Linked DNA regions of Arabidopsis thaliana. The protein of the gene in region 1 interacts with the protein of each later gene in a pairwise test. Each region holds a gene or a part of one and is shown on either strand. Other genes may lie near its edges. The genes, in order: CB5-E, SIP2;1 and BTI3.

Region 1 (3,664 bases):
GTTCTGTCTTGGGGAATCATGTGGCCACTCATTAAAGGTCTTAAAGGAGATTGGTTCCCATCAACTCTTCCTGAAAACAGCATGAAGAGTCTCAATGGTTACAAGGTTCCATACAAAAAACACTAGTACTCTACAATAAACTCCGCCCTTTCTTTCGCGTACTTTCGTTCTTAATTTGTTCATAACTCTTTAGGTGTTTATATCAATCTCATTGATCCTCGGAGACGGGCTTTACCAATTCATCAAGATACTTTTTAAGACAGGAATAAACATGTACGTCAAGTTAAACAATCGCAACTCTGGGAAATCTAGTAAGTATACACCAAAAAAACTATAGAAAAATCGTCATTTCAATAATGTATTATCTGATGTTCAAACGTAAATCGCAGATTCGGAGAAAGATAAGCAATCTATTGCAGATCTTAAAAGAGATGAGATCTTTGTAAGAGACAGCATTCCATTATGGGTTGCAGCAGTAGGATACGCAGCGTTCTCTGTTGTCTCGATCATCGCGATCCCTATAATGTTCCCCGAGCTGAAATGGTACTTCATAGTCGTAGCTTACATGTTAGCTCCATCGTTAGGTTTCAGTAACGCTTATGGAGCAGGGCTAACAGATATGAACATGGCTTATAACTATGGTAAAGTCGCTCTGTTTATCTTAGCCGCTATGGCAGGGAAACAAAATGGTGTAGTCGCGGGACTTGTCGGATGCGGGTTGATAAAATCGATTGTATCGATTTCTTCTGACCTAATGCACGATTTCAAGACAGGACATTTGACTCTGACTTCACCTAGGTCGATGCTTGTGAGTCAAGCGATCGGTACAGCGATCGGATGCGTTGTGGCGCCTCTAACTTTCTTCTTGTTTTATAAAGCTTTCGATGTCGGGAACCAGGAGGGAGAGTACAAAGCTCCTTACGCTTTGGTATACAGAAACATGGCAATTCTTGGAGTTGAAGGTTTCTCTGCTTTGCCTCAACATTGTTTACAGCTTTGTTACGGGTTTTTCGCATTCGCGGTGGCGGCAAATCTCGTTAGGGATAGGTTACCGGATAAGATAGGGAATTGGGTTCCATTACCGATGGCAATGGCGGTTCCGTTTCTTGTTGGAGGGTACTTTGCTATTGATATGTGTGTGGGAAGTTTGATTGTGTTTGCTTGGAATATGAGAGATCGAGTTAAAGCCGGTTTAATGGTACCGGCGGTTGCTTCCGGTTTGATATGTGGAGATGGTCTATGGATTTTGCCGTCGTCGGTTCTTGCTTTGGCCGGCGTTAGACCTCCTATATGTATGGGCTTCATGCCGAGTAAATATTCGAGTTAAAGATAGCTTTTTACGAGTTTTTACTTTTTTGTGTAGCGACAAAAAAATTAGCTAAAGAATTGTGGAAACAAAAAAAACAGTTTATATAGGAATTGTACTTTGTAAGTTTGTATACACAATAAAGTAATAAACTAGTCTCTCAATTCTATTTAAAAATCCATGTCCCAAGTAACTTCTCCCCAAAAAGAAACTCAATATTTTAGAATAAGGTCAAATGGAATTAAATTCCAGAAGATATTTGCCAAAATAGTGATAAAAATACGGTTAAATTGGTATATGTTTTTACTGACAAAAGGCAAGATTCTTCTATTTTAAGATTTATTTCTTTCTTTGAAATCTGCTAAACGTTGTTAGATCACACTTTATGTGTCTGTTTTTTTTTTTGTCAATTCAGCACACGTCATATTTGTATTTTTCAAAGTACCAAACGTGGACCAAAATAAAATCTCGTCAAAAATGGAAACCAAATTTTAATTTGATTTGCACAAAGCCCAATTTGATTTGTTTAAAGTCAAAGCCCAACTTGACCAAAACTACCCCTGCTCATCCAAACCCTAAGCAAAATATCGAGGGTAGTTTCGTATTTTGTTTATATTGAACACAATTAAGTAGGTGAGGAACCTCTATTTCTTCCGTCTTCTGCTGATTTCTGAGCTTCGGAGCTATCGAAAATTCTGAATCTGAAAGGGTAAAGATCCCATCTTTTTCCAAAAATCGATAAGGGAATTAGTATATTCGTTCATTCATCATCGTTCTGATGATTTCGATTTGAATCTGTATCTAGTACTCTGTATTATCAGAAATTTTGATTAGTAGCTTTGATGTGTTCTTGTTTTGCAGTTTGAGTGAAGATGTCTTCAGATCGGAAGGTTCTAAGTTTTGAAGAAGTTTCAAAGCACAACAAAACTAAGGATTGTTGGCTTATTATTTCCGGCAAGGTTAGATCTTGTCTCTTTGTTTGAGAACATCTCTGTTTTTTGACGAACTTAGTTCTCTTCCGCCATTGATTTGTGTCAAAGCTTCGATTTTAAAGTTGTAGAGTTGGATTGTTACTGTTAGAAGCTTTAATCGAGCCCCTCGTAGATTTAGTTGATTCTATGTTAATTCACACTAGAGAAACAGAGTTTGTGTCTACTACTTGGTTATGATCTGTGATTGTTGCGTTCTTTAGGTGTATGATGTGACTCCATTCATGGATGATCATCCTGGAGGCGATGAAGTCTTGTTGTCCTCAACAGGTATAAAACTTGTGTTTCTCTCTGATTCAAGGCGGATTTGAAGCGGCTCGGTGACTGTTTCTGTTCTGATGTGGTGTTTTGTTTGCAGGGAAAGATGCTACAAATGATTTTGAAGACGTTGGTCACAGCGACACTGCAAGGGACATGATGGACAAATATTTCATTGGTGAGATTGATTCGTCTAGTGTTCCAGCAACTAGGACATACGTTGCACCACAGCAACCAGCCTACAACCAAGACAAGACACCAGAATTCATTATCAAGATTCTTCAGTTCCTTGTTCCGATCTTGATCTTGGGATTGGCTCTTGTCGTCCGTCACTATACCAAGAAAGACTAGAAGAAGCCAAAGGCTTGCTTTGATGCTTGTCATTGAATATCTCTACCGATCTCTGTCTATCTCTCTTGCGAAAAAAAGTACTGTTACTGTTGTTTGGTCTTAGACTGATTCTTGTTGAAATTACGAACCAAAAATCATTGTGTTGCTACTAGTTTTACTGTGTTGAGTTTATGATGACAGTGTTTTCGACTTTGATGATATAATAAAAGACTGCTTGATTTGCCCAAACTTAAGCTGCTTGATAAAGAAGTGAGAAACTGGATTTCTACAATTGAACAAATATGTTTCATACAATTGTGGAAATGACAGTTTCAGACTCATCCGTTACATTTTAACAAGAATATTGCCTTGTCTTTTTCATTAGTACTACAATAAAAGCGATAAGGATAGTAGTATTGTGTTTTCTCTGTGTGATGAGTAAACAAAAAGAAAGAAGAAAGAAAGAGAGGAGTGAAAACGGTAAGAACCAAACCGCAACAAACTTTAAACCTTGAGAAAACGCAGCCAGACGAGTGCAAGGGCTTTTGTGTAGTGGAAACACTTCATTTCTGGCTTTGATCGACTTCTTCATCAAATACTCTGTGATTGAGAAAGAGTTTCAATCTTGTCGTGAAGCGTCACGACAAGATGATGGGCATCATCAAGAAGCTTCCAGACATTAAGCTGACCAGCCATGCTATTACACTCTTCCACAATCTCATCCATACTACTGTATTTCTGTATGATCAGTTTCCTACGTAGTACTAACGCCGCGATTGCA
Region 2 (3,739 bases), on another chromosome or scaffold:
CATGTAATAGCTCCCATCTCTCCACTGATACTTTCCTTGGGCTTCTTGCAAACCCCTCCTCCATTCACCATCATACACATCTCCATTCGCGAAACGCTTGATTCCATGTCCATGTTTCAGGTTCATCACCCACTGACCTTTATAAGTATCTCCACTAGGACCTGTGTAAAGGCCAACACCATCCATGTATCCACTTTTGAATTCGCCTTCATATGTGGCACCAGAAGGCCACCCGAACTTCCCTCTTCCCATAGTCTTCCCGTTGTACCAGTCACCAATGTACATGCAACCATCTGTCCAAAGATACTTCCCATGCCCGTGAGGAAAACTATCATACCATTGCCCTGTATAATAGTCTCCATTAGGAAGTATTCTCTCTGCATGGTACAATTCCCCTATGCTGCTTCTGTTAGTGCTGGTCTCATCATCATTCTCCTCAGTCGTAGTAGTAGCATCATCATCTGTCTGTGGAGCTACAGATACCGTCCCAAAAATGCTGTTTGCACGCTTCTTCGCTTGTTGGGTCTTTCTTACGGTCACCTCCCAAGCCTTTAGAACACAGCTTTGTTCCTTGCTCATCTTCTTAAACTAATAAAACTTTTCTCTAAGATACCTATATGTATATCCTAGAACATAAACTCAGAAAACATATTTGTTCTTGTCTAAACAACAATCCTATCAATGTACACATACACAAGAGAAAACCATGAACTCTGTGCAAAAGAAAAAACAAAGTGTAAACCTAAAACCATTAAATCAAACGCAGCATGAAGAAATCTGCAATGGTCTTTACTCTGTGACTTCCTGTCTCTATGCCATTGAATCACAAGAAAAAAGAATGTTTTTTGGTCTTTTAGAATGCAACATTTTCGGAGTGAAAGCTGATATGAACAATCATGGAAACCTAACAAAGAATCAGAGAGAGAGAAAAACCAATGGCCAAAAGAGTTAAGGGATCAAAAAAATTCTCTCCGACATTTCATCTTTTCTTGTCAATTCATCTTAACTAATTATGTCGTTCAAAGAAGAAACCGTTCATCTCCTCAAACCAATGAAAGCCTTCAAATTTAGAGAAACAAGCATGACCCATTTTTCTCTATTCTTAGCATCTCCGAGCTTTCCTCTCATAAACAAACATATTTTCTTCAGAACAAAAAAAATCGGAAAAAGTAATAATTAATCAATTTAGCCAAGACTGATAACGTCTCCAATCTGAGATCACTAAGAGCTATAATCAAAAACAGAGGTAACTGAAACTCTAACTCACTGAGGCATTCTGTCGAACACTTTAAACGCATTGCTTCTCCACTAACAAGTCACATTTTTCCGTATATTCACAACTTATTTTCAAAAGGAAAGATCCATTCCCAATGCTGAAGCTTCAAACACCATAAACGATAGAAGAGAGACAAAAGTTACAACCCAAAGCCAAGCGTGTAAAGATCAAAAGGTCATATTTTTCCTGAGGGGAAACTTCCGTCGCAGGTTAAAATTGGAGGGCTTTTTTGTAAACAATTCTTAAGAAGGCTAATTGTAGTAATTTATTTGTAATTATTAGTTAACTGTGTAAAGTAAATACTTTATCCAGTAATAACGTATCACTTTAGTTGATGTCTATTGGTTAATAGCCGAAGCTCGTTCCAAAATCGAAGAGAATCTATAATCTCATCACGACACACCAAAGCCAAAACCTTTATTGTCGGAAGCTGACTCAGACTCAAACAATGTCTCTAGCGTCAATTATATGCTAAATTCACCAGCCGCTTAGAGCCAATCATATAATCTCGATTCTCTTCAACGGTCCTCAATTATCCTAAATTCAGATCATAAAAACGCTAACTTTTAATTTCTTTCTTTCTGAGAAATTGGTTCTCATCGTTGGAATCGAAAAATGGGACGAATCGGTTTAGTAGTGACTGATCTGGTATTGTCGTTCATGTGGATATGGGCAGGAGTTCTGGTCAACATTTTAGTCCATGGAGTTCTTGGATTTAGCCGGACCGATCCTTCCGGTGAGATCGTTCGTTATCTCTTCTCTATCATCTCCATGTTCATCTTCGCCTACCTTCAACAAGCCACCAAAGGCGGGCTTTATAATCCTTTGACCGCTTTGGCTGCTGGAGTCTCCGGTGGCTTCAGCAGTTTCATCTTCTCCGTCTTCGTTCGAATCCCCGTCGAGGTTTGTTTCGTTGACTTTTTTTGGTTTAATTGAAATTGACTCTTCGTTAGAGAGAGGTCTCAGGGTTTGTGTAATGTTGTAAAATGTCAAATTAGAGAAAAAAAAGGAGAATTTAGCTGATGGGTTCTTCTTTGAAAACCAGATCATTTTGGTTATATGCTCTATTGTTTTATAAAGACTTCATCTTGAAGATCTTTTGCTCTAATGTGTAATCAAAGATGATACTATTGTGAAACTCTGGTTTTGTGTTATTTCAGGTAATAGGATCAATTCTTGCGGTTAAGCATATCATTCACGTATTCCCTGAGATTGGGAAAGGACCTAAACTAAATGTAGCAATTCACCACGGTGCTTTAACAGAAGGGATACTAACATTCTTCATTGTACTGCTCTCAATGGGACTAACAAGAAAAATCCCGGGAAGTTTCTTCATGAAGACTTGGATCGGTAGTCTTGCTAAGTTAACTCTTCATATTCTTGGCTCTGATCTTACCGGTGGATGCATGAACCCTGCAGCTGTATGTACCAAAAAAAAGTCTTGTGATTGTGATTTCAGCAAATAGCGATCTTTGTTTTGAATGTTTGCTTTTGTGTGAATCTTTGCAGGTTATGGGATGGGCTTATGCACGCGGTGAACATATAACGAAAGAGCATTTACTTGTGTATTGGCTTGGACCTGTGAAGGCTACGTTGCTTGCAGTTTGGTTCTTCAAAGTTGTGTTTAAGCCTCTCACCGAAGAACAAGAGAAACCTAAGGCCAAATCTGAGTGAGGAATGAGGAATGAGCTCAGCTTTCATATTTAATCCTCTCTGGATAAATCTCCTTTACACAAGACACAGAGGGTAGGATTGTTTCCAGGGATATTTTCGTAGATTTTGTAATGTGTTTTTTTTTTATGTTGCAAACTCAACTGTATCAACCAGTTCAATAAAATCTGAAATTTAAGTAAGTCCAATGCGCAATATGATCAAATATATGCAGTAAAAGTTTATTGCAAAAAAAAAAAGACGATGTTTCTCAGTTTCGATCATTCAATTACAAGAAATCAAGAACCAGCCGTAAACTCAAGACTTGACATTGCAGCTACTAATAGACAAGATTAGGCTCAAACTCGGCGAAATCAACAGAGCCAGACTCAACAGGAGGCATGAGATAAGCAGCCAAGATCTCAGAGGCTAAAGAAGTAACCAAAGGAATCCTCTTGAGGGTCTTGATGAAGGAAGCATCATCTGTTTCTCCTATAGCCAGCAGCTTCTCATAGCTCACAACCATTCTATCCAGTTTCCTCTTGAACTCAGGGTTCTCAACATCCAGCACCGCAGGGAATATTCTTGCCGTGGTTCGGTTTGTCTGAAACAAATCTCAACATTTTCAGAAAAAGGAACATAACACAGGTTAATATTAATCTTCTTGTTTCAAGTTCCTTTACCTCGATGATGACATGCATATCGAACTCCTTTGTGTTTAACCCGATACCCTCGTAGAAATTAGTTCTTTGGCAGTCATTGAGGTACATTGTCACATAAACCTGTAAAGCCAATCCTCTTACTGGTTAGGCC
Region 3 (4,130 bases), 5.1 Mb from region 1:
TTTTTTTTATCACATTACAAATACAAATTTAACGTACGTAACATTTACATTTAGTGGACTAGAACTCAAATCACCCTATTACAGCTTGCATATATAGTAAATTGTTTTTGTTTTATAAGTCCAAAAGGATTAGTCTAAATTACATTGTTTGGTTATCAAAGAAATTAAAATAAAAAATTAGATAAAATTAATCGAAAATGAAAACTTAACATGAAGGTTGAAATCTCCAAATTATTTACTCATCCTTTTTACCAAACTCAAATATGATATTTTTTTCTATACGTAAAACTCAAAATTGTATATACAAGAAATTTAGCTATCTAAAAATAACTATATAATAAGCCATTATAGTAAGCCACAATTTTGACCATCTACGATCTTTTCTTTTGTACGTAGTAAGGTTTGGTGCAAACTTTTGCAAGTAATTAGTATATAGCTCTTATGGATATGGTATATTCCTGATATGAACTCTGATTGGGTAATGATTAGCACTTAGCAAGGTAGTCAGATTTTTGGCTTTGGCACGCATGGGTTTCACTGTTTCAGGATTGAATTGGAATTTTTTTTTGATTAATTAATGTATAATATTTTATACAATATAAAAATATATTACTGTATTAGGTAAGAACTTTACGACAAAAAAAAAAAAATAGGTAAGAACTTTAAGATTATGCAAGGGTCTTAAAACGAGCCACGTAATCTTCTTAGACCCACGATAGTAGATTTTTGAGGTCTCCAAGAATCTCTTATCCTTTTTGTCATCGAATCTCTCTCTCTTTCTGAAGATATATTAAGAAACAAATCTCTCTTTTTCTTCGAAAAGGTTGGTTAGGTGAAGGACAATTCTCATCCACACGATTAGATGCATAAAATTATATATATAAGAAGAAAATCTAATTATATGAAATGGTGGAATTTCATGTCACACTAGACGACGAATCTTCCATATTAAACTCACTTCTAACACTGCATGTGTATGTAATTATGTATATGAATGAATATCCAAATAGAATAATATATTTGGACTAATCAAATTATTGGAAAAGTACATAAATAAATAAGTGAGCTTTCATTGTCAAACCTGATTTTGTTGATCTCTGGGTTTGCCATTACTCCAAAAAATCTTACCTTCAAGAGTGATGTCGACACAGTGGAGCACACGTGTTGTAACACGTGTCATGACTCAGCTCAAAATTGGATCCCACGGAAGAAGTTAGATCTCGAGGCCAAGAGACCAGAGTCATCAATTCAAACCCCACGTGCGTGAGAGTCACTGACTATTCTCCTCTTATCTTCCGGGTCTTCGAAATCCAATATCTCCAAAACGCAGCGTCTTGGTTAATTTTTGAGATGTCAATATATATAATCTGTGACCTTGTAATGTTTAATCAACAGGTGTATGATCATCTTTCATCTAGGAGCATTTTCATTCTATCAACATATTCTCATAACAATTTTACTATGCCTAACAATTTTTTATTTTTACTATGAAATGGATCAGTAATAAATGGGCCTTAATACTGTACCAACAATCCCATAAATGGGCCCAATGCTGGATCCTATCCGCCGACATCTAACGTTCCACTAACGGAGACGTTATCGGGAATATTCACATTAATTAACGACCGTTAGTTCCACGCCAAATATGTTACATCTGCTACAAAATAAATAGTTTGATTTTCCACCGTGGACGGTTACCTACTCGAGGCCCAGACCCGAATCAAACGGACTGGATTAAATGTTTTAAATCAAGGGGTGGGATTAAATCTGAAGCACACGCTTTTATTCGTCACAGTCTCCTCCCACACTCTTCAATCAGTAAAGAGTTTTAGGTTTTTTTTTCTTCTTCTCGGAGGTTTGTAGAATCAACAAAAATGGTGGAAGACCACAAGCACGAGGAATCGATCTTGGAGAAGATTGTTGAGAAGATCCATGGCCACGGTGACTCGTCTTCTCTGTCCGATTCCGACGACGATAAGAAATCTACATCGTCTTCGTCGTCGTCCTTCAAGTCAAAGATTTACCGACTTTTCGGAAGGGAGAAACCTGTTCACAAGGTTCTCGGTGGTGGAAAACGTATGGATCTATCTCTATTTCTTCACTTTGAACTCTGATTTTACTCGATTTTGTATCTTACATAGTGATTTTGCTCGATCTAGTGAATGTTGCTCTAATTTGAAGCTAAAATTGAGTGTATTTGAGTGCTTAATTGTCTGCTTTGCTCGAAAGTACGCTTAAATCTTGTGAAATACTCAGAAACTATGTTGAATCTGGATTCATTGTTTGCATGTAGCTGCTGATATATTCCTTTGGAGGAACAAGAAGGTATCTGGTGGAGTCTTGGGTGCTGTAACTGCGTCTTGGGTCTTATTCGAGTTATTCGAATACCATCTCCTCGCTTTTCTCTGTCACTTTGCGATTTTTGCTCTTGCAGCATTGTTCTTGTGGTCTAATGCTTGTACATTCATCCACAAGTATGTTCTTACAACATCCCTTATATGTTAAGTGTTAAGTATGAGATAACTGCCTGATCAACTGAGTTCTTATCCTCAGGTCAACTCCTCACATCCCGGAAGTTCACATCCCTGAAGATCCTATTCTTCAACTTGTTTCTGGATTAAGGATTGAAATCAATCGTGGTTTGACCCTTCTTAGGAACATTGCATCAGGAAAAGATGTCAAGAAATTTATCCTGGTATTGTTCATGTTATCTACCTCGATGCAAAGCGGTTTTCTTATGTTCCTCATAAATGCTAATACTTGCTTGCACATGTTTTAGGTAATTGCTGGCTTGTGGGTTTTGTCCATTATTGGCAGCTGCTACAACTTCTTGACATTGTTCTACACTGGTAACGATTCATTTACATCTTACTGCATTTAATCTGATAGGAATCATACTTGCATATCTTGATAACCAGCTTTTCTTTCTTGCTTCCAGCTACTGTCCTTCTCTTCACCATTCCTGTACTCTACGAGAAGTATGAGGACAAAGTAGATGCCTATGGGGAGAAGGCGATGAGGGAGATCAAAAAGCAATATGCAGTACTTGATGAGAAGGTATTGCGTAAGGTCATAAGCAAGATTCCAAGAGGAGCTCTGAACAAGAAGAAGGATTAAGGAATGTGAGTTACTCTCTCATTGGAATCGTAGTAATGGTTCAAGACATGTTTTGTTAGAAGCTGTTGGTTGATAAACCCTTTGATCTCTTGTTATTATTATGTTCATTATAAATTTGGGGGTTTTAACTAAAAATATTTAGATTATGAGAGAACACGGATGGATGATAATTATTGTTGTTAGTTATTTGTCTTAGTTAATTTCTCATCCTTTTAACAGCTCTCCATGATGGTATTCGTCATGTCAATTTTGCATCATGTCTGAGGATTGGTCCATACACATAAACTCAAATTGTTTCGTGGGTTTTTCGCTCTTCACTGCTACTGCGATCTAACTTTAGTTCATAAGAATCTTTCTTGTTTTTATTTGACTAATAATATTCTTCCCATTCCATCTCTTTCATCATCTCAACATCTTGTTCATAGGAAAAGCTAAAATGATTGGTATATGAACTAGGTTAAACGCAATTTGATAATTTTCCAAAAAAATTTGTTCATAATTCTTTTGCCAAAATTGCGATTTCACGATTTCTCGACAAAAATAATCACACAAAAAGTGGATTCCACAATACCAAACGCTTTCGGTATGATAACCATCAAATCTGGATAATTACTTAAAGTAAGCAACATACGTAAGGTAGACAACTAGGTGTTAATCACTATATATAGTTTGTAGTAGAAAACAATATCAAAAGTCAGGATGGCCGAGTGGTCTAAGGCGCCAGACTCAAGTTCTGGTCCTCGTAAGAGGGCGTGGGTTCAAACCCCACTTCTGACATTTCTGTTTTTAGTTTTATGTTCAATGACTGGATTTTTAAATTTATTATTTTTCCGATTAAAGTAGATAACTTTTTTTACAACAACCATTATTTTTTTTTTTGTCATCATTTAACCATTTACTTTCAAAAGCAAAAAAACTTAAAGATGAACAGTGACGACAAAAAAGAAAGAAAAGATGAAACAGTGAAAGCCAAGTACAGTCATTTTGATTAAACCGTATTCATTAACCAACTT

Evidence for each region.
Region 2: the proteins of CB5-E (region 1) and SIP2;1 interact in a two-hybrid assay, tested with the Arabidopsis thaliana proteins (one large-scale study listed by BioGRID).
Region 3: the proteins of CB5-E (region 1) and BTI3 interact in a two-hybrid assay, tested with the Arabidopsis thaliana proteins (one large-scale study listed by BioGRID).

What each region holds. Positions count from the first base shown.
Region 1 is NC_003076.8:21,757,450-21,761,113, forward strand, and holds CB5-E (cytochrome B5), read left to right. Parts: upstream 1-1,879; 5' UTR 1,880-2,015; intron 2,016-2,167; 5' UTR 2,168-2,178; coding exon 2,179-2,265; intron 2,266-2,498; coding exon 2,499-2,565; intron 2,566-2,653; coding exon 2,654-2,904; 3' UTR 2,905-3,129; downstream 3,130-3,664. Other genes in the region: YSL3 (YELLOW STRIPE like 3), read left to right, coding at 1-105, 194-311, 390-1,327; AT5G53570 (Ypt/Rab-GAP domain of gyp1p superfamily protein), read right to left, coding at 3,475-3,664. UniProt on the Arabidopsis thaliana protein: Membrane bound hemoprotein which function as an electron carrier for several membrane bound oxygenases, including fatty acid desaturases.
Region 2 is NC_003074.8:21,077,797-21,081,535, reverse strand, and holds SIP2;1 (small and basic intrinsic protein 2;1), read left to right. Parts: upstream 1-1,679; 5' UTR 1,680-1,891; coding exon 1,892-2,179; exon of another isoform or gene 2,180-2,361; intron 2,362-2,436; coding exon 2,437-2,697; intron 2,698-2,785; coding exon 2,786-2,946; coding exon of another isoform or gene 2,947-2,950; exon of another isoform or gene 2,951-3,052; coding exon 3,053-3,125; 3' UTR 3,126-3,239; downstream 3,240-3,739. Other genes in the region: PIP5K4 (phosphatidyl inositol monophosphate 5 kinase 4), read right to left, coding at 1-579; CRD1 (dicarboxylate diiron protein, putative (Crd1)), read right to left, coding at 3,267-3,530, 3,610-3,708. UniProt on the Arabidopsis thaliana protein: Water channel required to facilitate the transport of water across cell membrane. Inactive in yeast cells.
Region 3 is NC_003076.8:16,634,356-16,638,485, forward strand, and holds BTI3 (VIRB2-interacting protein 3), read left to right. Parts: upstream 1-1,673; 5' UTR 1,674-1,874; coding exon 1,875-2,076; intron 2,077-2,293; coding exon 2,294-2,474; intron 2,475-2,553; coding exon 2,554-2,695; intron 2,696-2,779; coding exon 2,780-2,849; intron 2,850-2,938; coding exon 2,939-3,117; 3' UTR 3,118-3,553; downstream 3,554-4,130. UniProt on the Arabidopsis thaliana protein: Plays a role in the Agrobacterium-mediated plant transformation via its interaction with VirB2, the major component of the T-pilus.